Arabidopsis thaliana: one gene and its partners. The protein of the gene in region 1 purifies or fractionates together with the protein of each later gene. This does not show direct contact. Each region holds a gene or a part of one and is shown in the gene's direction. Other genes may lie near its edges.

Region 1 (7,152 bases):
GTAAAACAAAGAAAAGGTTTTAAGTTTTGTTGGAAACTTACTTGGTCAATTCTACTCGTGGTAATGTGGTGGACAAGCCTTAAATCGCGATTACAAGCTTAGAGAATGTTGTAAAGAAATACTCCAAGAAGATGGCATATTTATAGGACGAGAAGAACAAAAATAAAAAAATTTGGATATCCATCGCAGTTATTACAGATTCTTTATTTCTATAAATAGATTCCTAAATCGTTGCGTTTTGATTCTATATTCTATTTTTGTAAATTAAAAGTCCATGCATGGTTAGATATTGCACTGTCGTCTAGGTTCATTTTTACGTTTCTATTGCCAGCTCTAACGATTTTGACTGTGATTCATCTTTAATTAGATAATTAAGATCTATTGCCAGCTAGCTCTATTGCCATATTAATTACATAATTATCTCTAAGACTAAAAGATCATGTTCTGATGAAACTTGTCAACTTGACATGTCTCTAACTGCCAAAACTTATGAATTTAATGTACGTAGAACTTTTTAATATTGACTCCGATGACTTATTTGATGTTTGAAATCATGTGTAACAACTTTTGGCTCGATAGGCCTAATATATTTATTAGCTTTTCACAACCAGATTCTTGAATGAGACTTTTCTAGCCGTCATGTGAAAATGATGTAGCTAATAAATGGTCTTCTTTTTTTATGAATAACACCGACTCAAAGGTAATTTCAATGAGAAAAATATGAGCATTTTAGGTATGTCCTCAAACAAATTAAAACTGTATTCAAATAATTGATCATCTTGCTACATTATATAATAGAGGTGGTGATCAAACATCATAGCATAGTCATATTGTTAAGATGTCTCAAACATCGTCGCATTAGGTCTGAATCGGCAGGGCCGGTCCATATACTAATAAGTAATAACCAAATGTTATGAACTACGCGAGTGTAAATAACATAAGATGTTAAAATGGTTGGTGAACGTGCATTAAATTGTTCTACTGAACGCGTTATTGGTTTTAAGCATGTCGATATTTGTAGAGATTGTAATATGTTGTACGTATTAGAGATTAATATAAACGCGTTATTGATATGTATATTACATTTGATATCATGCGTTTGCGGACAAATAAATATCTTTATTATATACATCATATCGTCACATGTAATGTGTCACTATATATAATAGAAAAGAAATCAACTTAAATGATTGTAGTCCAATCCCCCTATATAGTCGTATATATCTCATCGGTCAAGACACATATGACATAACCAATTTTTAGTTTGAGTGTTCTACATGCACGCATGTATTCAACGAATGGGTTAAACGTTAACTCGTTCTCGTAAGATTATTTTTACATAAAACAGTGAATCTTTTTATTGGTAAATATACATAAAACTGATAATAGTAATAATCTAATTTAGCAACTAGTTTATCCTCAGAATCATTAGATACGTTACTGATCTATTATGATTGCTTAGTGATTAGATAGAGCCGATATCAACTCAGTTTGTACGCACAAGACAGAAGACTAATGAATAATGACAATATATATTCTCGACCCATTTCACACAATGCTAGTACAAGATAAGGTGCTTTCGTGTCATAGAGATTTTGACAAATTGATTATAACTTCCGTTGACTGATGGGAGCGAAATTGACAAAACCATTAACAGATTATGAGCAAGTTCTCAAGATTTTTTAGTTTTCTTTCTCTCTCGGTCCCAAAAGAAAAGATGACAATAGCTAGCATCAACTTGTTAGAAAAAGACGATGAACAAGTTTGAGAATTGGACCACTGAAAATCCAATTTCCACCCAACCAATTATTCTACTATTAGTGGAAAAACGTGGTCAACCATCTTTGTCAACTTCGCCAATATGCTTTTCAACTTCTTAATTAATGCCTCAAATCTCGGAACTACATTTTGTCACAACGCTAAAGATAAAAGAGAACTAAAAGTAGAAAAACAAGAGTTTGTGAAAGTTTACAAGTTTTTTTTGTAGAGAGAATTTTAACCGTGTTAATGTTTTGTTCCAAATGTTTTTGTTTGTTTTGGAAAAACAAAAATTTGGTTGTTTTTATTTCACAAGTTCAAGAGCACGCTTGTACCAACAAGATCGATGATCGTGTTGTTTCGATTCGTGTCGAAGTTGACACCGTTTCGTTGTCTTGTTTATTGATCGAGACATATTTGTTTTTGGTTGTGGAACAAAATTTTAAAGTATATTGCGTGTTCACACTAGTTTGAAAGTTGTGTGCGTATGAATAAACATATCGAATAATCAATAACAAGGCACCATATAGTTATTGGGCTCAATTTGTTTTAAATTGGGCCGATAATTATTTAGGCAAAAGCCCAATAATAGACACCAGTCAAATATACCTTTGTGTACTCCAACAATCATCATCTTCTACTTCTTCTCTTAAACCCTGGCCGCGCGAGAAAACCCTAATTCAAACCTGTAGCCATGCCTGCCCTCACTCGTAACAAGAAGAAGGCTGCGACGAAATCGATAACCCCTCCAACGAAGCAGCTTACCAAATCCAAAACCCCTCCAATGAAACCCCAAACTTCAATGTTGAAGAAAGGAGCGAAATCTCAGAACAAACCTCCATTGAAGAAGCAGAAGAAGGAAGTTGTGGAGGAAGAGCCTCTAGAAGATTACGAAGTTACCGATGATTCTGATGAAGATGACGAAGTTTCCGATGGTTCTGATGAAGATGATATTTCTCCAGCTGTGGAATCAGAAGAGATTGATGAATCTGATGATGGAGAGAACGGGTCTAATCAGTTATTCTCTGATGATGAGGAAGAGAACGATGAAGAGACTTTGGGTGACGATTTTCTAGAAGGTAGCGGCGATGAAGATGAGGAAGGATCTTTAGATGCGGATTCGGATGCTGACTCTGACGACGACGATATTGTGGCGAAATCTGATGCTATTGATAGAGACTTAGCAATGCAGAAGAAAGATGCTGCTGCTGAACTGGAGGATTTTATCAAGCAAGATGATGTACATGATGAAGAACCTGAACATGATGCGTTTAGGCTACCAACTGAAGAGGTAACATTTTTTTCATGTGTAATACTTACTCTGTTTGATTTTGGTTTTAGCATATATCTAACTGTTGTTGTTATCTTTCATTTGTCCAGGAGCTTGAAGAAGAAGCTCGTGGTCCACCAGATCTTCCTCTACTTAAGACTAGAATTGAAGAGAGTTAGTAACATTTCCAAATTTTGTTGCTTTATTACTGTTGAAATGTTGGTGTGATGGTATTTATCTAGGTTGGTTTGGATTGGTGTTCTAATTGTTGATTCATTTAACATTTCAGTTGTTAGAGCTCTTAAAAATTTTAAGGCTTTCAGGCCAAAAGACACCACGAGGAAAGCTTGTGTTGAACAGCTCAAAGCTGATCTCGGTTCTTATTATGGTTATAACAGTTTTCTTATTGGAACTTTGGTTGAGGTGAGACTCTCTAGTTTCTTTCCTTTGATATAGTATGGATAGGATGTTGCTGATATTCTTTACTTATGGATGTTGAATTGGGATTTCTCTTGCAGATGTTTCCTCCTGGTGAACTTATGGAACTTATTGAAGCTTTTGAAAAGCAAAGGCCTACGTCCATCCGAACTAACACACTTAAGGTGAACTTGGTTGTGACTTACTGGGTTGTAGCTTATGACTTTCAAGTTCTGCAATTTCATGGTGATGTATGTTTTGCTTTAGACTCGAAGACGGGATCTTGCTGATGTACTTTTGAACAGAGGAGTCAATCTAGACCCATTAAGCAAGTGGTCTAAAGTAAGTAGTTTGTTCTTACTATTTTCTATTCTGTCAGTCCTATTTTTATGAATCTTCTATTGTTGATCTGTCCTAAGTCTTATTTACTGATGTCCTACTGCAGGTTGGACTTGTTATTTATGATTCACAAGTCCCAATTGGTGCAACTCCTGAATATCTGGCTGGGTACTACATGGTAAGTGATCTTCTGATGTCTTTCCCTTTTCTTCACCTTTATGGAATGCAATTGTTTGCTTAAGTCTCTCTACTTGGTGTATTTGCAGCTTCAAGGTGCTAGTTCGTTTTTGCCAGTGATGGCCCTTGCCCCTCGAGAGAATGAGCGGATTGTGGATGTAGCGTAAGTTATCATCATCTACTCATCTACTAAACAATCGCTGCAGCTAAAAAGCGTTTGACCTTGTTGGCGTGTGATGATTCCAATTCTAGTGTTTGACTGTTTTGTTGTGTGAGTTTATAACAAGATTTTATATCGATGCAGTGCTGCTCCTGGTGGTAAAACAACTTATATCGCCGCTCTAATGAAAAATACGGGTATGTCTTCATTGGTTTCTCTTGCTTCTTATCCCCATATTCTATTTGGCTGTCGTATGTTTTTTTTTTTTGGTTTAAGTAATGTTTATAATGATGCTATTACCAGGCTTAATATATGCGAATGAGATGAAAGTACCTAGGCTTAAGTCGCTAACTGCCAATCTGCATCGTATGGGGGTCACAAATACCATAGTTTGTAACTATGATGGAAGAGAGGTTAGCTTCTTGAACATTGATTTTTCTGTTGAATTTCTGCTACCTGTTCACAAAATGTTAAAAACCCCGTAACATCTACTTGAATTCACACTACTGAAATGACTGGAATTATAAAATTTGATCTGGTTAATTTTGCTCAACATGCTGCCCAGTTTTATTTTCTTGCACTTATTCTTTATTTCGTTATCTTTGCTGCTGTCAGCTACCCAAGGTTTTAGGTCAGAACACGGTTGATAGAGTATTGTTGGATGCGCCTTGCAGTGGGACTGGAGTAAGGAACTTCGAACTTACTCTCTGTTAAACTGTAGTTAAGTTTTAGATCCTTGTTACTAAATCTCCTCTGCTACCCAATACAGATTATATCAAAAGATGAATCAGTTAAAATAACGAAAACCATGGATGAGATAAAGAAATTTGCTCACTTGCAAAAGGTATGGCAGTACCTTCTTAAATAACTTCTATTATATCTGAACAGACCAATTTTCATTCTTAAACACATGCTAAGTTAACCCTTTTTTGTTCATGAAGCAACTTCTACTCGCTGCTATTGATATGGTGGATGCCAATTCCAAAACCGGTGGATATATAGTTTATTCAACATGTTCAATTATGGTTACTGAGGTTAGTTAACTGATAATTTCCCCCATAATTTTCTTCTTTGTATTTGATTCATCCTAATTTTTCTTTATGTATGAAAAAATTGTGCAGAATGAAGCCGTCATTGACTATGCCCTCAAAAAGAGGGATGTTAAACTCGTTACGTGTGGTCTCGATTTTGGCAGAAAAGGGTAATGCACAAGTTTTTCATCTGAGGGATATTTAAAGGAACATTAAATAATGTCTCTAACTCTTTGTCCTTCTTCTCTTCATCAGATTTACCAGATTTAGAGAACACCGGTTTCAGCCATCTTTGGACAAGACTAGACGTTTCTATCCTCATGTACACAACATGGACGGATTTTTTGTGGCAAAGGTACTCACTTTTGGCCATTGTAATCGATCAACCATGCACTTGTCAATACTCTAATAGTTGATATAATCCACACAATTTGATGTAATGCTCTTGTGTTCTTTTTCTTTATACAGCTGAAGAAAATGAGCAACGTGAAGCAATCTTCAGAAGAAGGTGATGATGATGCGGTAGAAACTGTAGAGCAAGCTGAAGTGTCTAGTGATGATGATGATGAAGCTGAGGCCATTGAAGAGACGGAGAAGCCTTCTGTTCCCGTTAGGCAACCTAAGGAAAGAAAAGAAAAAAAGAACAAGGAAAAACTTGCAAAATCAAAGGAGGACAAGAGAGGTAAAAAGGATAAGAAATCAAAATCTGAAAATGTGGAAGAGCCATCTAAACCAAGGAAGCAAAAGAAGAAGAGACGGGAATGGAAGAACGAAATAGCTCAAGCTAGGTATATAAATATCTATCCCCATCCATGAACTGAGAGAACAAAATGCTTTAGACTTGTCTTTTATATATAGTTGCTTGACAATGATTTGTATAATCACGTTTGCAGGGAAGAGAAAAGAATAGCCATGCGGGAGAAGGCGAAGGAGGAGAAGTAATGATGATTCAGTGTTTTTTCATCAAAGAGAAGAAAAAACATTTGCGAAAACGTTATCATCTATGGTTATAGTAGGCTTGTGCCATATATTGGCTTTCTTGTTTTTGTTTATTCACGACGAGATTTGTGCAACGTTAAAAGCACCCAGAGTGAGCACTCTGTTGGACTCCGTGGGCAGACCACCTTAAATGTCCAAAAGTTTTGTTTCAGAAAAAAATCTTTTAAGAGAATCAAAGTTAAGTTGTGTTCTTGAGCCGATCACTAAATTGCTGTTATTTTTACTCAAGAACCAAACTAGGGGTGGCCAAAAAAAAAACTATAACTACTAACCTAAATATTTTTTATTTCGAAAAACCCAACATTTTTTAACCTAAATGTAGTTGGAACAAACCGAAATGAATATACTAAATTTTGTTAATTTTAAGTTCAAATGATTAATTATCAACTTTTTAATTAATTTGTTAATTCATCACTTCATATGTTGGAATTGACTCAAACCAAACTATATCAAACCATAATTGTATGAAACCAAACAAAATATATGAAATTGAAAGGCTCAGAATTGTTTCAGTTTAGTTTTTCTTATTTTTCAGAGAACTGTTTTTTAAAAAAAATTAGGGATTTGGCAGTGAGCTGTTGATTGGTTGTAAGAAGTTAGAGAGAGAGATTGAGAAACTCTCACACCAAAGTGGGACTTGTGTTGGAGAACATGACAACCCATTCTTCATCTATCTTTGTCAGATCTTGTTTGGGGACCTCTCAATTTTAATTTGATTATTTATCCTTAACTCTTCCTTTTTCTTTTTTTATTTGCATTATTCATTCTTTTTATAAATATGTATTTCAAATAATCGAAAATCATTAAAGATATCTAACTGGTCGATTATATGTTCCAATCAATCAATTTTTGTATTATTATGGTATGAATAATTTCATATATTTTTCTTGTTTACTTTCTTCCTGATTTTATTATATTCGAAAGAACATTTTTTTTGTCTGCTGTTATAAAGAACATTTTTGTAAGGGAAAAAGATGGTTATTTTATAAACAAAAAGAAGA
Region 2 (4,340 bases), 1.3 Mb from region 1:
GTTGAAGTAGTTTGTTTTGAACATGATTATGCTCAAGAAAAGGCGTAAAAGTATCACTTAGCTCTGAAAGGAACTCATTTTTTTTTGGTTAATAAAATTTTAAACACAAACAAACCGACTAAGTGTTATTGACATAAGTCTCAATACAGTTTCAAGTAATATTCGGCTTCTTCCACTATTGGATCAAAGTTATAGGCGCCTTCTTCCATCGGTAGCGCATTTTTAAGTATTGCCAATTGGCGTGACCAATGAAAATAGTAAGTTTCAAAAGAAAACGGGTAATCAGCAGAGGTAGAATCATTGTGGCGTCTCAAATCTTTAATTTTCTCAAAACAACGCTTCTCTAGATTCCCGACAAGGTTGATACATTGGCGTAAATCGAGGTGTTCCAGGTGAGGACAACCGTCAAGAATGGCGTTTAAGCCTGTTTTGGTTAGTTTGTTCCCACAAAGCTGGAGATGGCGTAGTTTAGGCATGCTTTCTGCAATTGCTATGGCATCATGATCATCATCATCCGAACTTAAGTAAAAGAGGCGGTTTAGCATCAATGTCTTCAGATTTGGACAAGACAGCCCTGCAAGTTTCATAGACTCTCCTGACAATGATATTCCTGAAACCTCAAGCTCTTCAAGCATTGGAAGTTTCACAACTGCTTGAACAAATCCATCGTCTGTTATTTCTGAGCACATTAGTCTAAGGCTTCTAAGATTACTTGACCTACAAGTAATGGTGTGTAAAAAGTTATAAATCATAATCTTGAGATATCTGTTTTTAACAGACACTTGAAGACTTACATGAAAAGTAATCAAAAGTCAAAACTAGAATTAGAGGAGAACCTCTCCGCGATGTATGTAAGGAGAGAATCACTCCCGAAGTCCCCAATGTTGATCTCCAGCAAGCCACCCTCGCTACGATCAACGGCGTTACGACATATCGCCTCAGGATTGTTCACCAGTACTGGTTTGTTGTAACTCAAGATTCGCATGTCGATTTTACGCCATATGGATGGGTCTTTACAAACATATCGTCACGATCTACACACTTTCTGAGCGTTCTCCAGTATCTCAGTCACGCTAAGACGTAGCAGAATCAAACACATCAAATCCGTCGGAAGATCCGCCCAGTTTTTTGGCTCTTCGTTTTTCATCAGTGAAGACAGCGGATCCATTTCTGATGAGGATCAAAATGTCAAATCTGTGAAATATATATATCAGAAAGTCATTTAGTTTTAGGCCTTCTTTGATTATTTGTAGATTCTAAGTAGTTTTTGGTTTTAGTTTTAGGCCTTGAATGGTAGTAGATTCTAAAATGGTTTCTAGTTTGCATAAAAAAGTTTCCTGAAAAGCTAAGAAATCTAAATTTTTAATTTTTTATTAATTAATGAAAAGCAAAAAAAAAAAATCTATTTATGCAAACTAGACACCATTTTAGAATTTACAATCATTCAAGGCCTTAATTGTTTATTAACTAATGAAAAAAAAATCAATTTTATGAGTTTTTTGTCCAACTTCGTGTGATTTTTTTTCCTCTTCTTGTTTTGTTTAAACTAATGATTGTTTTGGACTTTAAAGTCAGAAGGCATCTCTGATTACTTGATCTGCAATATAAAGTTATAACAATAAGATGCAAAATTTTACAATCTAGTCCTTATGGCACTAAGTTTACGAAAACAATTCATGTCTAATAAGCCCATTACCTGAATTAATTATTGGGCCTTAAGCTCCTAATATTCTGACCTTTTGTATTTCAAAATCATGTATTCCTTGCATAACAAGAAATCTGATGGTGGTGATTCGATAAAAAGAGTTCGATAGGATCTGAAATCTTCCTACAAGAAGTAAACTGTTTAACAGAATTTGTTAAATGTAATAAATAAAAACTTTTCCATATTTATCGGAAAAATAAATGGAACCTTTCCAGCTTTCCTATACCAACTCCAAATTCCAATAGATAAACATTCTTAAACCCTAGCAGGGGCTCGATAAAAACTAAAAAATAAAAAAACCAAACACGAAAGCTGCAAACATCGATTAACATCAACCTTCTCTTTGTTGCTTTCGCTCTCGCTCTATAGCAAAGATGAAACCTCCCCAAAGAGGTTAGAACCCTAGCAGCCGTTTTGTTTTACTACTTGTTTAATTTCTCTGTTCGACCTATAGTATAGGGTTGAGGGTTGTTAACTCCAAATTCGTTTTGTCACAATATATCTACCTGAATTGCTTGTTACGTAAACTGTTTTGAGTCTTCACTTCTTCAATCCAAGTTTAATAGGAGATTTAATAATACTCTCTTCTGATTAGTTAATTTCGGTTTTATCTGTATGATTATGCTCAGGACGTGGTGGTGGTGTTAGAGGTGGAAGAGGTTTAGCCAGAGGCGGTGAAGGAAGTGCCGTAAGAGGCAGTGGAAGAGGCGGCGAAAGTGGCCGTGGAAGAGGGCCTGGAAGAGTTAAAAGTGAATCGGACGGTGGAATTAAGGGAGGAAGCAAAGTGTTAGTGACACCACACAGGCACGCAGGAGTGTTTGTTGCCAAAAGTAAAGCAGATGCTCTTGTAACCAAGAACTTAGTTCCTGGTGAAATCATTTACAATGAGAAGAGAATCTTTGTTCAGAACGAAGACCGATCTACTGTTGAATACAGAGTTTGGAACCCTCATAGATCTAAGTTAGCTGATGCTATTACCACTGGTGTTGATAACATTTGGATCGTAAGTCCCATAACTTAAAGTAACAATCTCTTTTATTCTTCTGTTACCGAAACTAATGAATACTTGTTTCTTGAAATTGTAGAAACCTGGTGTTAAAGTTCTGTACCTTGGTGCTTCTTCTGGATACACCGTGTCTCATGTCTCTGACATTGTTGGTCCAGTAAGTGAACACTAAACCTTAAACCCTAACTTTTAAGATTGAGTGAGTGTTTTCTCTCTATGTTACTTATATCTAGCTTTTCTGATTGGTAGGAGGGATGTGTTTACGCTGTTGAGCATTCTGATATTTGTGGTAAAGTTTTGATGAACATGGCGGAGAAGAGAACTAATGTTATACCAATCATTGAAGATGCTAGACATCCTGCTAAATATAGAATGCTTGTGGGAATGGTTGATATCATATTCTCTGATGTTAATCACCCTGAGCAAGCTAACATATTAAGTCTCAATGCTTCTTATTTCCTCAAATCTGGAGGGCACTTTATGATCTCTATAAAGGTTTGTAACAAAACTTTTTTGACCATTGATTCAAATCAAAATCATTCTCTTTTTAGTGTGCATTGTTTGGTTAACTCTAAGTTACTTGTTTCAGGCGAATTCTATAGACTCAACAATTGCAGCAGAAACTGTGTATCAGATGGAAGTGGAGAAGTTACAAATGGAAGAGTTGAGACCAACAGAGATATTGCATCTTGACTCTTGTGAGGAAAAGCATGCTTGTGTTTTTGGTGGATATCGCTTGCCTAGGAAGTAAAAAGCTGATACTGCTATCTAATTAGGAAGCTGATACTCTTTACTTAGTTTGTGATTGTTAAAATTCATACACATTCATGAGGCTTTAAAATTATTATTTTTCTCTGATTCTCACTGTGATTTGTCTTCTAACTAGTATGAGTTTTAAGAAGTTGAGTTTTGCAAAAACAAAAGGTAGAATACACATACATTTTGAGTTGAATTCTAGTATTTATATTTTGGTTTGTTTTATCGAACGTGGAACTAACACAACGTTACATTGAAGAATCATTCATTGTGATTTGAGATTTTCAATGTGATTTTAAAAGTTTGTTATCGATAATATGATTTTGTGGAAGTGTAATTTCAAATTTGTAGACAGAAAGTGAAACTCTGCTTGTTCATCAATTTATGTTTCCTTAGACATAATTGATAAATACATTGTTTTGTGTTTATGACAAAGAGAAGACGATAATTAGCTGAAAATAATCACATTATTCAAATATGTTCCAAAGAATAAAATTTTTGCACTATTTGCTATTTTCAGTTCTGCCTTCTAATAGATTAAACTTTCGTAATGAACTTCATCCTTGAAAATTTAAGAGTAAATTTGAAATTGGTCATCAGGTCATGTATTAAAGGGAAAAATAACAAAATAAAAATGTCAGAAGTGGGATTTGAACCCACGCCCTCTTACGAGGACCAGAACTTGAGTCTGGCGCCTTAGACCACTCGGCCACCCTGACTTTTTGTTTGTATAACTACACTAAACTTAATTGACATAGATTAAACGGATACTAATGCAAAATATGAAAATAGGCGCAATATCAATGTCTGCTTGAGCTATATCATATTATCATTGAAAATAGACCAATTGGCTGTAACATTGAAAATAAAAGA
Region 3 (5,585 bases), on another chromosome or scaffold:
CGTAGAAGAAGCCGGATTAACAAATTCTGTATCTGGTGAAGTCAAAACTCAGAGGCGAAAGAAACGTGTGGCTCAACCTCCGGTGGCTTATGCCTCTGCTGCACCGTTTCCTTTCCTCCCAGCTCCTTCCTTCTACTCTCCATGATAACCTTTAAGCAAGCTATTGAATTTTTGGAAACAGAAATTAAAAAAAAAATCTGAAAAGTTCTTAAGTTTAATCTTTGGTTAATAATGAAGTGGAGAACGCATACAAGTTTATGTATTTTTTCTCATCTCCACATAATTGTATTTTTTCTCTAAGTATGTTTCAAATGATACAAAATACATACTTTATCAATTATCTGATCAAATTGATGAATTTTTGAGCTTTGACGTGTTAGGTCTATCTAATAAACGTAGTAACGAATTTGGTTTTGGAAATGAAATCCGATAACCGATGATGGTGTAGAGTTAAACGATTAAACCGGGTTGGTTAAAGGTCTCGAGTCTCGACGGCTGCGGAAATCGGAAAATCACGATTGAGGACTTTGAGCTGCCACGAAGATGGCGATGAGGTTGAAATCAATGGCGACTTTGCCGAAATTGATTCAAAGTATGAGAAAAGAAGTTCCGAAGCATTCTAATCCTGTTTTGCCCTCTCTGAGACGAGCTTTTTCCCTCTATGATCAGATCAATCTCATTGACAATGTTCCTGAAGACCAGCTTCGCTTCCAAGAGTAATCAATTCCAAGCTTTCTCTATTGTTTTTCGTCGTTGATTTTGTTTTTTACCGACTGTGTTTCTGGGTTTGATTTAATGAATGATTAGGGTTTTTGGAATTGGAAATGTATAAATATGTGGTGGTTGATTGATTCTCTTCACTTACTTTGCAGATTTAATGATACGAGTTTCACTGTGAATGGAGTCAAATACGAAGGTAGCTTACTCTGTGTTGGGAATCTGTTAATGTCATGGAGTCCTCGTAAATTTTCAGAGATCACCACTGATAGGTATCTTCTCTCTTCTCAGGCCTTTGATTCTCACCAATGTTCTGTCACAACCTTATATCGATTTGAGCTGATTTTTATGACTGTGTTTGAGTGAAAGTTGTGTGCTTTTGGCAATAGATTGGTTGAAGGTTTTCAATGTTCATTGTCATGAGAGGATTTGACAGCTTTATCAATTTGAAGTGTTTGATAAAACATTTGGTTTATTTTCGACAAGTGTTCTTTTTTTTTTTTGTCATTGAGAGCAATGGCTAAACGTTTGTATATTTCTATTTCCATGGATGCAGCTTGTCTATCTTCCAGACAGTTCGACCTATTCCAGGTAATAATATTTGTGTACCCATGAGTCATCAGTATGAAAATAAAACTGTATTAGTACCTCTGGTTGATTAACTTTTGCTGCATATTAGCTTCAATCTCAGCTCTTATTAGATATTCTAAACTAAATCATCGAATTGTCCAGAGCTCTTGATTGTTGGTTGTGGAAGAGACATTCACCCGGTAACTCCCGAGGTCCGTCAGTTTGTCAAGTCCCTTGGCATGAAACTAGAAACAGTTGATTCTGTAAGTTTCTTAATCCATTTCTACAGGCTTCTTTTCTAGTCCCAAGCTTACTTCATAACTTCTTATTCGCTTATTATATTGATTACTTTTAATTCAGAGAAATGCTGCATCAACGTACAACATTCTGAATGAAGAAGGAAGAGTCGTTGCTGCGGCATTGCTTCCATATGGAGTTACATCCTAAAGAAAACTAACAACTCGAGCTCTGGCTTTCTAAACTGTAAATGGTTTTTGAGACCTTCCGAAAATAAACCGAATTTCATCGGAGTTTTTATTGCGTTTGAGCTATATAACAAACGTTGTAACATGGTGCGACTTTATCTCGCATTTCTCATCCTTCCAAAGATATAATATCTCCAGAGACTATGTTGTATCAATGAATGAGATTTAAAGAATCTGAATTACAGTTATATTTTTAACGGAAATCGTTACGGTTAGTTAAAAACTTAGAAATGAGTTTTTGAGTATATAAAGGAAGAAGAAGAAGAGAGAGTCATTTTCTTGTAGTCAAATTCGTATCTCGCGGGGAAGAAGAAGAAAAGACTGCTTTTTCTCAAAACCCTAAAATCTCTCTCTCCGGATCCATTTCTCGAACATGGCGTCTATTGTTCAACCATCGCCTACTTTCCCGGCGCTAAATCTCCGGCGTTCTTCTCTGATTCGTCCGCCTTCTTCCGTTCGATTTCCTCTTGTAAGTCTCATCTACTTCTCTCACTCTCTCCGACTATTATCTTTCTATTGGTATTTGTACTTTATACGGTCTTCTTCGCTCGAATCTGATGAATCTTGTTCTCGATTGTTTCTGTTGGTTGTGGAATTGAAAAGAAGTGTAACGCGGCGGATCCGTACAAGTTCGACGGCGGAAACTCTGCCGGTTTCCATCTGCTTACTGGCGACACCGTTCCGGCTAGCTTTTCGAGGACACGTTTGGAAGATTCGATTTATCAGAACACCACACGACTTCGTATCTTTTCCGGCACTGCTAATCCTATTTTGGCTCAGGTTCGTTCTTAGCTTTGTTAGTCGTTGGAGTTCTTTGGATTTAATTGCAAGAATTAGTAGCTTGGAACTGAAATTAGTTTAGGAAGAAACTGATATAGACTTCGGAATTAGTAGCTTAAAACTGGAGATTTGTTCAATTGCAAAGATTAGGATTAGGAAGAAATTGGTTTAGAGTATATTCTGGAATCGTCTTGTTTGTTCATTGGTGTTTTACGCTGATGATACAGGAGATTTCTTGCTATTTGGGTCTGGACCTTGGGAAAATCAAGATTAAACGCTTTGCTGATGGTGAGATCTATGTTCAGCTACAAGAGAGTGTAAGGGGATGTGATGTGTTCCTTGTACAGCCTACATGCCCACCTGCAAATGAAAACCTTATGGAATTGCTCGTTATGATTGATGCTTGTCGGAGAGCATCAGCCAAAACTATCACGGCTGTGATTCCTTACTTTGGTTATGCACGAGCTGATAGAAAGGCAAGTCTTTTTCTATAACTATAGAATCTGTCTTGGATTCAATCGTCCTGTGAAAACATGCACAATGATTTGTCTCCAAGAGTAATCGATTGTCAGTTTAAGTCAGATCTATGGTAGTTAGTATTTGGAAGTAATCAAGTAATCAAATTGGCAGCTTAGTTATCTGTATGAAGCTGATTTGGGTTTATCGATTGTCTCATTCCTCTGGCTTCACTTAGTTTCTAGTTGAGAGTTTTTCATTTGACTCTTTCGTTGTACATATTCTTGCAGACTCAAGGACGTGAATCTATTGCAGCCAAGCTTGTGGCCAATTTGATTACACAGTCTGGTGCAGACCGTGTCCTTGCTTGTGATCTTCACTCCGGACAGTCTATGGGCTACTTTGATATTCCAGTCGATCATGTTTATGGCCAGGTAGAAAAAAGTTTTTCTTAAATGACTCCTCTGAGCATCAAGTTCCTTTTTGTGAAAATAGACTTTCTTATGTCTTCTTTTCCTTGTGCTTTAATATTCATGAACAGCCTGTCATACTTGATTACCTAGCAAGTAAGGCCATATCCTCTGAAGATTTGGTGGTAGTTTCACCTGATGTTGGTGGCGTCGCAAGAGCTCGCGCTTTTGCGAAGAAGTTATCTGATGCACCTTTAGCAATAGTTGATAAAAGACGTCATGGGCACAATGTTGCAGAGGTAGAAAAACCTTTGGAAAATACATTTTAACCAAGTCTGGATTTTGACATTTAACAACCCGTTTCATGTAGGTGATGAACTTAATTGGGGATGTTAAAGGGAAAGTAGCCATAATGGTGGATGACATGATTGACACAGCAGGTGAGTAATAAGTCACGGTCTGCATATCTGTAAACATTCCCCATTGTGCTTAGATACTTACGTTAGGTATATCATATCAGGAACCATAAGCAAAGGTGCGGCTCTGTTACACCAAGAAGGAGCAAGAGAAGTATACGCTTGTACCACTCATGCCGTTTTTAGGTAAGTCCATGAAATATTTTCTCTGTGTTGGAATTATAAAAAAAGAGAAAGAAGCTGACATATGCATTTGTGTCTATATTCGGAAACAGCCCTCCTGCAATCAGTCGACTATCGAGCGGACTGTTTCAAGAGGTGATCATAACCAACACGATTCCATTGTCAGAGAAGAACTATTTTCCTCAGCTTACAGTTCTCTCAGTAGCAAACCTTCTTGGGGAGACCATATGGCGTGTTCATGATGATTGCTCGGTGAGTAAAACATAAACACTACTTGCAATTTTCGCTTGAAGAGAACTTCTGTGTCTAATAAAGTTTTTTGATATTCTCAGGGAGCCATTGAGCCATTTTCGACGTTGGGGATTGATTGAGTGATGGAAAAAGGGTAAAGAATGTACTTATAGCCTCTCAGTAGTATGAATTTCTGATAATGTACAAACTCTTTTCCGCTGTAAAAATGTTAGACTTGAGTGTGATTGTCAAGAAGGGAACACTTTTGTAGAGAAGAAGATTTAATGGAACCACGTTTTCAAACTTTTTAAGAATACAATATTTTTTTTTTCGTCAATTTGGATCCAATCATGTAGATAGTTTACCGTTGAAGATTATTTATTTGTGAAATATCTGGATTTTATTTTATTTTATTTAAAGCCAAGTTACATTTAGACCTTAAACCTATGACTTATATAAGATATAAAGCAAACATACTCAAATTTGCAAAACGAGGAGAGACAAAATTAAAAAACGGCGGCCAAGACACCAACAAACGGAGCAACAGTAACCGTCGCAGGCTCAGCTTGCTGGAAATTACTCCTCTCATCTCCATAAACATCGTTCTCGTTGGGTCCTCCGACAAGTGCTCCCATTAAAACGTTAGGGTTTGGTGCAGGATTGTTATACCATTTATCATACCCTCCACTACACGTCACTGGTGTTTTGTCCTTTCTGATCGATACTATGGAGGCTGCTCTATGGTGTGGTTTTTTGGGATAATTGGTCCCAACTCCAACCATGTAGCTCATTTTCTGGGGGTTCGACCCAAGTATATAGTCAACCTATATAACATGAGGAAATCGCAAATTAGTATATATTATATTGAAAAAAGTCTTGATATATTTTCAACAACATGTTTTATAGTTGGTACTATATTAGGTTTTATTAACTACCTGGGAACGAGCGATTTGGAGAAGATCAGAAGCTTGAAGAGCACCTTTGGGACATTGGATGGAGGCTTTTGCCTTTGTGAGATACTTAGAATATGCTGAGAGAACGAAAGAAGCGGTTGTGGTGTATTGGAGGTTGTTCCACGGCAAGAAGTAGAGCAAACCGCCAGGGGTTTTCTTAACGTTGTTGGAACCTTTTTGAGCACAGTTGCAGATAAACTGCTCTGCCATACTCTTGTACTCTGCGATCTTTCCATTGCTCCCTACTTTCCGTTCAAGTGCAAGCTGCATTTGCAAAACTTTGTGTTATGTTTGTTTCTTGCCACATAAGATAGTGATATGTTTTCTTTAGTGAAATAGTCATAACTTACCTTGGCCATCAAGACTTGTGCACCCACGAACTTA
Region 4 (3,899 bases), on another chromosome or scaffold:
TTAGTGCGTTATATGAAAACAATAGAAGTCTATGTATAGTATGAAATGTAGCATGACCGGGTTATTAATTACCTTGGGGACAATTTCGCAAAACAACAAACCAAAAGACGAGTTTGTGAGTTATAGGAAGTCGTCCGCTTACGACGTTGTCCATCTTGATTCTTATAAACTCTTGTCGGAATCCATGGTCGTCCGGGTAATTTGTGAACCCTCTGATGGCCCGCGAACCGAGGTCTTTAGTCGGGTTTAATCCTAGAAATCTAGAGACTACAGAATTTGACCCATCGCAGCCAATCAAAACCTAAATTAAAAGAAAAGTATATTATCAAAATATATAAGACCCATGCATTTCATGCTAAACATGTTGCTTTCAGTGAAAAACAAACAAAACACAAACCATTAAAACCGATCACGACCCATAAATGTCACTGTCGGCTAATATAAAGTATATACTAAAAAAATTCCACTACGGCATCACCTCAATAATTGATCAATAAATATATCTACTGTTGTTAAAACGTGCCTTTGCTTTGATAGCTTCTCCCGTTTTTAACGTGCACAATCGGAAACGATTTTGTTTCGTCGAGCTTAACCGACAAAATATGGCAACCAAGCCGGAGAGTGCCAAGAGGAAGAGCATGAGCCAAAGCTCGAACCAAGTCGTTCCTTAGTACACCTCTTACTTCTCCATAGGATGCTGGTCCAACCGATTCTCTTCGTTTAATACCTTTCTCGATCAAAACATCTCTTATCCTGTTTTAGTACCATACCGGAAATCATTATAACTAGATAAGGTTAGTTAAAATATAAATATTTATATACTTACTGATGAATTGGGAGAGACTTAAGACGAAGCTAGCTTATCGGCGACACCAAGTTGTTGAAGAGCAAGCCAGCCGTTAGTCTGAATACCAAAATGCTGCTCCTTCCGATCTTACAGACTCTGATCTCTCCAACACAACGCTCTTTATGCCCTTCCTTTATAATCATATTTGTATGTTTAGTTAGTCAATAGTTCATGTATATGTTTTCTAATTTAAATTACCTTATAATTGAGAAAATGAGGAGATTATAGTGAACCTGTGAAGAGCAAGGGAAGTTGCAAGACCAGCAATGCCTCCTCCCACGATTACTATGTCCAATTCTTCCATTCTTCTATATTTGTATTTCCTCCAAATTTTATGATCGTTATGTCCTGCAATGTCGTGGACTTATATGTGGGGGTTGAAGCCACATGGCAATATGGCATGTCGTGGTTGTACCTTGACCCGCGTATTTTTCGTTATCTATACATATTCATTCACAGCGATTTTTATTGGTATTTGTCGATTCATATATCAATTAAACTGTGTATCACACAGATCGTTATATGAAACCAATTCTGAAGAGAGAAAAAAAAGAAAAGAAAAATTTAAGCCTTCTTGTGTTAGAATTACTAATTTTAATAATTTATTTAATATTTTTACTGTATTAGTGATTAAATGTATAATTTACTTAATCTTAGAAGTATATATATATATTTAAAACAATTATTTTCTTACACGTTATACAATATTTGTAATTAATTGTATTTATTTATATTAGAAATATATATACCTTTTTCTAAAATAATATATTTTTGTTTTGTCAATTGCCCTTATAATATTAGTAATTCATTGTATGATTTCCTTATAATATTTTTACACATGAAAAAATCTCTAACTAAACATCTTTTCAATAAACTACATGAACTATCAAATTTGTTATAACTTTCAGTTATCCTCCAAAGTCCAAATATTCAAAGTGAATTATTCATGGGTTGGATTTAACAAAAATAATAATTTCGAGGTTGAAATGACAATAGATATTTTTAAAACAAAGGACCAAAGTCGAAATAACAAAACTCATCGGCCGCATTAGGTTTGGTCCTAAATCCCTAAAACCCTAAAAAAACACAATCCCTCTTAGAAACAGAGAGCTTCTCTTCTTTCTCCATTATTCATCACTTTCTTCCCCGAAGATGCGTCCTTTAGACGAGACCGAGACAACCGTCGTCTTCGAGAAGCTCTTCAAATTCGTCGGCAACAACCTCAAGAAGATCGTCGAGAACCCATCAGACGAAGGACCCGAATCTACACCCGGCAGCTACTGCTTCCGCCTCCAGAAAAACAGAGTCTACTACGTCAGCGAAGCCCTCGTGAAGCGAGCCACAAACATCTCCAGGAAAAACCTAGTCTCCTTCGGAACCTGCATCGGGAAATACACTCACGCCGGTAGTTTCCATCTGACGATTATGTCACTCAATATCTTGGCGGCGAATGCTAAACACAAGGTATGGCTTAAACCCACTTCGGAGATGTCGTTTCTTTATGGGAACCATGTCTTGAAAGGTGGATTAGGGAGGATTACTGATAGTATTGTTCCTGGAGATGGTGTTGTTGTGTTCTCGATGTCTGATGTTCCGTTAGGGTTTGGGATTGCTGCGAAGAGTACACAGGATTGTAGGAAATTGGATCCTAATGGTATTGTTGTGCTTCATCAGGCTGATATTGGAGAGTATTTGAGGGGTGAAGATGACCTTTGAAAGTTTAAAGGTTTTGTCTTTGTTGTGTCTTAGTTTGATTCTGCTTGTTGCTTTGAGTTTTAAAGTATGTAGCTGTTACAAGTTTCGTGGAACTTGGTTCTGGATCTATGAAAGTCTCGATTTTTATAAATCTGTTTTTGAGGTGTTTTGTGAGACTCTTGAGTATGTAAAAGCTAAAAAATTTACATTCATATGCGAATTTTCAAATCTGTAACCTGATGATCAAGATTTGTATTGGAGACAGGTTGAGTTTCCTGATATTGCTTTGATTTTTATACTTAAAAGCTTCAAATTCTTCATCAAGCTTGAAACTTTGGAAATTTACATACATATGCTAATTTTCAAATCTGTAACCCTAATGATTCAGATATGTGTTGGAGACAGATTGATTATGCTGATTTTTGAGACAGATTGATTATGCTGATTTTTGAGACAGATTGATTATGCTGATTTTTCTTTGGTTTTATAGTCCAAAAGCTTCAAATTGTTTTCAAGCTTCAAACTTTGGCCTTTGAGTATTAAGGGTATGTGACTGTCACAAATTTTGTGGAACATGGTATTGTATCTATGAAAGTCTCAATTGTTCTCAAACAAGAGTATCGAGAAGCTACAATTGTAAGCTGATGAATCAGTTTTCTGTATGGAAACAGATTGCTTGCTTTGATTTAAAACTTCAAAACTTATTACTGGGCATATAGGTTGTGTACTGCTGCCAAATAATCTGGAGAAGAGATGTTTAAACCAATTAAGTTCTGAAATCTTTCTGAAACAGATTGCATAACTTTTTGGGAAAGATATTGAGGGTGTTCTTTGAATAAATATGTTGTACACTGAAAATTTCCCACATTAAGAGTAGGGGATTGATATTCATCATCTTTTCAAACGTAATCTTGTAAAGTTCAACTTCAACCCAAAGTCTTGGCCTTTGTACGTTTGTTCCTCACTTGGGAATTGGGATGCAAAGCTGTGTTGCAAAATGTTTAGAAATAATATTTACTGTTATATAGTTTTTCTGGTATCATTAGTCACAAAGCCCGTCTAGCTCAGTTGGTAGAGCGCAAGGCTCTTAACCTTGTGGTCGTGGGTTCGAGCCCCACGGTGGGCGCTTTGTTTTTGTTTTTTTAATCCAAATTTGATCATATTCTGATTTTAGTTTTGAGTACCTTGACTAGTGACTCTTGAGCATGTGTTTTATGCAAGTTTTAAGATATCCTCGCCTTTAATTACGCTACGTAGAATATGTGAATTAGTATGGTACACCCAAAGAAAGAACACAAATACTTTATATAATAATACAACATCCAAAGTCAAAACCTTACAATACATATGGTACCAT

Evidence for each region.
Region 2: the proteins of OLI2 (region 1) and AT5G52490 fractionate together in Arabidopsis thaliana (co-fractionation; one large-scale study listed by BioGRID). This does not show direct contact.
Region 3: the proteins of OLI2 (region 1) and AT2G44530 fractionate together in Arabidopsis thaliana (co-fractionation; one large-scale study listed by BioGRID). This does not show direct contact.
Region 4: the proteins of OLI2 (region 1) and AT4G15770 fractionate together in Arabidopsis thaliana (co-fractionation; one large-scale study listed by BioGRID). This does not show direct contact.

The regions. Positions count from the first base shown.
Region 1 is NC_003076.8:22,644,684-22,651,835, reverse strand, and holds OLI2 (S-adenosyl-L-methionine-dependent methyltransferases superfamily protein), read left to right. Parts: upstream 1-2,318; 5' UTR 2,319-2,452; coding exon 2,453-3,049; intron 3,050-3,138; coding exon 3,139-3,202; intron 3,203-3,317; coding exon 3,318-3,451; intron 3,452-3,546; coding exon 3,547-3,630; intron 3,631-3,712; coding exon 3,713-3,787; intron 3,788-3,890; coding exon 3,891-3,962; intron 3,963-4,050; coding exon 4,051-4,124; intron 4,125-4,265; coding exon 4,266-4,318; intron 4,319-4,424; coding exon 4,425-4,534; intron 4,535-4,736; coding exon 4,737-4,805; intron 4,806-4,890; coding exon 4,891-4,965; intron 4,966-5,062; coding exon 5,063-5,155; intron 5,156-5,242; coding exon 5,243-5,322; intron 5,323-5,407; coding exon 5,408-5,507; intron 5,508-5,620; coding exon 5,621-5,940; intron 5,941-6,045; coding exon 6,046-6,094; 3' UTR 6,095-6,388; downstream 6,389-7,152. UniProt on the Arabidopsis thaliana protein: Involved in ribosomal large subunit assembly, required for normal progression of rRNA processing. S-adenosyl-L-methionine-dependent methyltransferase that probably methylates the C(5) position of cytosine 2268 (m5C2268) in nuclear 25S rRNA.
Region 2 is NC_003076.8:21,296,778-21,301,117, forward strand, and holds AT5G52490 (Fibrillarin family protein), read left to right. Parts: upstream 1-2,079; coding exon 2,080-2,098; intron 2,099-2,334; coding exon 2,335-2,708; intron 2,709-2,790; coding exon 2,791-2,868; intron 2,869-2,960; coding exon 2,961-3,206; intron 3,207-3,300; coding exon 3,301-3,462; downstream 3,463-4,340. Other genes in the region: AT5G52480 (RNI-like superfamily protein), read right to left, coding at 141-717, 837-985. UniProt on the Arabidopsis thaliana protein: S-adenosyl-L-methionine-dependent methyltransferase that has the ability to methylate both RNAs and proteins. Involved in pre-rRNA processing.
Region 3 is NC_003071.7:18,381,587-18,387,171, forward strand, and holds AT2G44530 (Phosphoribosyltransferase family protein), read left to right. Parts: upstream 1-1,928; 5' UTR 1,929-2,145; coding exon 2,146-2,241; intron 2,242-2,375; coding exon 2,376-2,552; intron 2,553-2,779; coding exon 2,780-3,028; intron 3,029-3,298; coding exon 3,299-3,442; intron 3,443-3,549; coding exon 3,550-3,717; intron 3,718-3,788; coding exon 3,789-3,858; intron 3,859-3,938; coding exon 3,939-4,020; intron 4,021-4,109; coding exon 4,110-4,269; intron 4,270-4,349; coding exon 4,350-4,388; 3' UTR 4,389-4,622; downstream 4,623-5,585. Other genes in the region: COX10 (cytochrome c oxidase 10), read left to right, coding at 1-145; AT2G44525 (NADH dehydrogenase ubiquinone 1 alpha subcomplex assembly factor-like protein (DUF498/DUF598)), read left to right, coding at 544-716, 873-989, 1,274-1,308, 1,450-1,550, 1,648-1,734; GH9B9 (glycosyl hydrolase 9B9), read right to left, coding at 4,755-5,072, 5,184-5,465, 5,552-5,585.
Region 4 is NC_003075.7:8,976,061-8,979,959, forward strand, and holds AT4G15770 (RNA binding protein), read left to right. Parts: upstream 1-1,834; 5' UTR 1,835-1,999; coding exon 2,000-2,563; 3' UTR 2,564-2,884; downstream 2,885-3,899. Other genes in the region: AT4G15765 (FAD/NAD(P)-binding oxidoreductase family protein), read right to left, coding at 73-301, 555-753, 913-978, 1,081-1,151.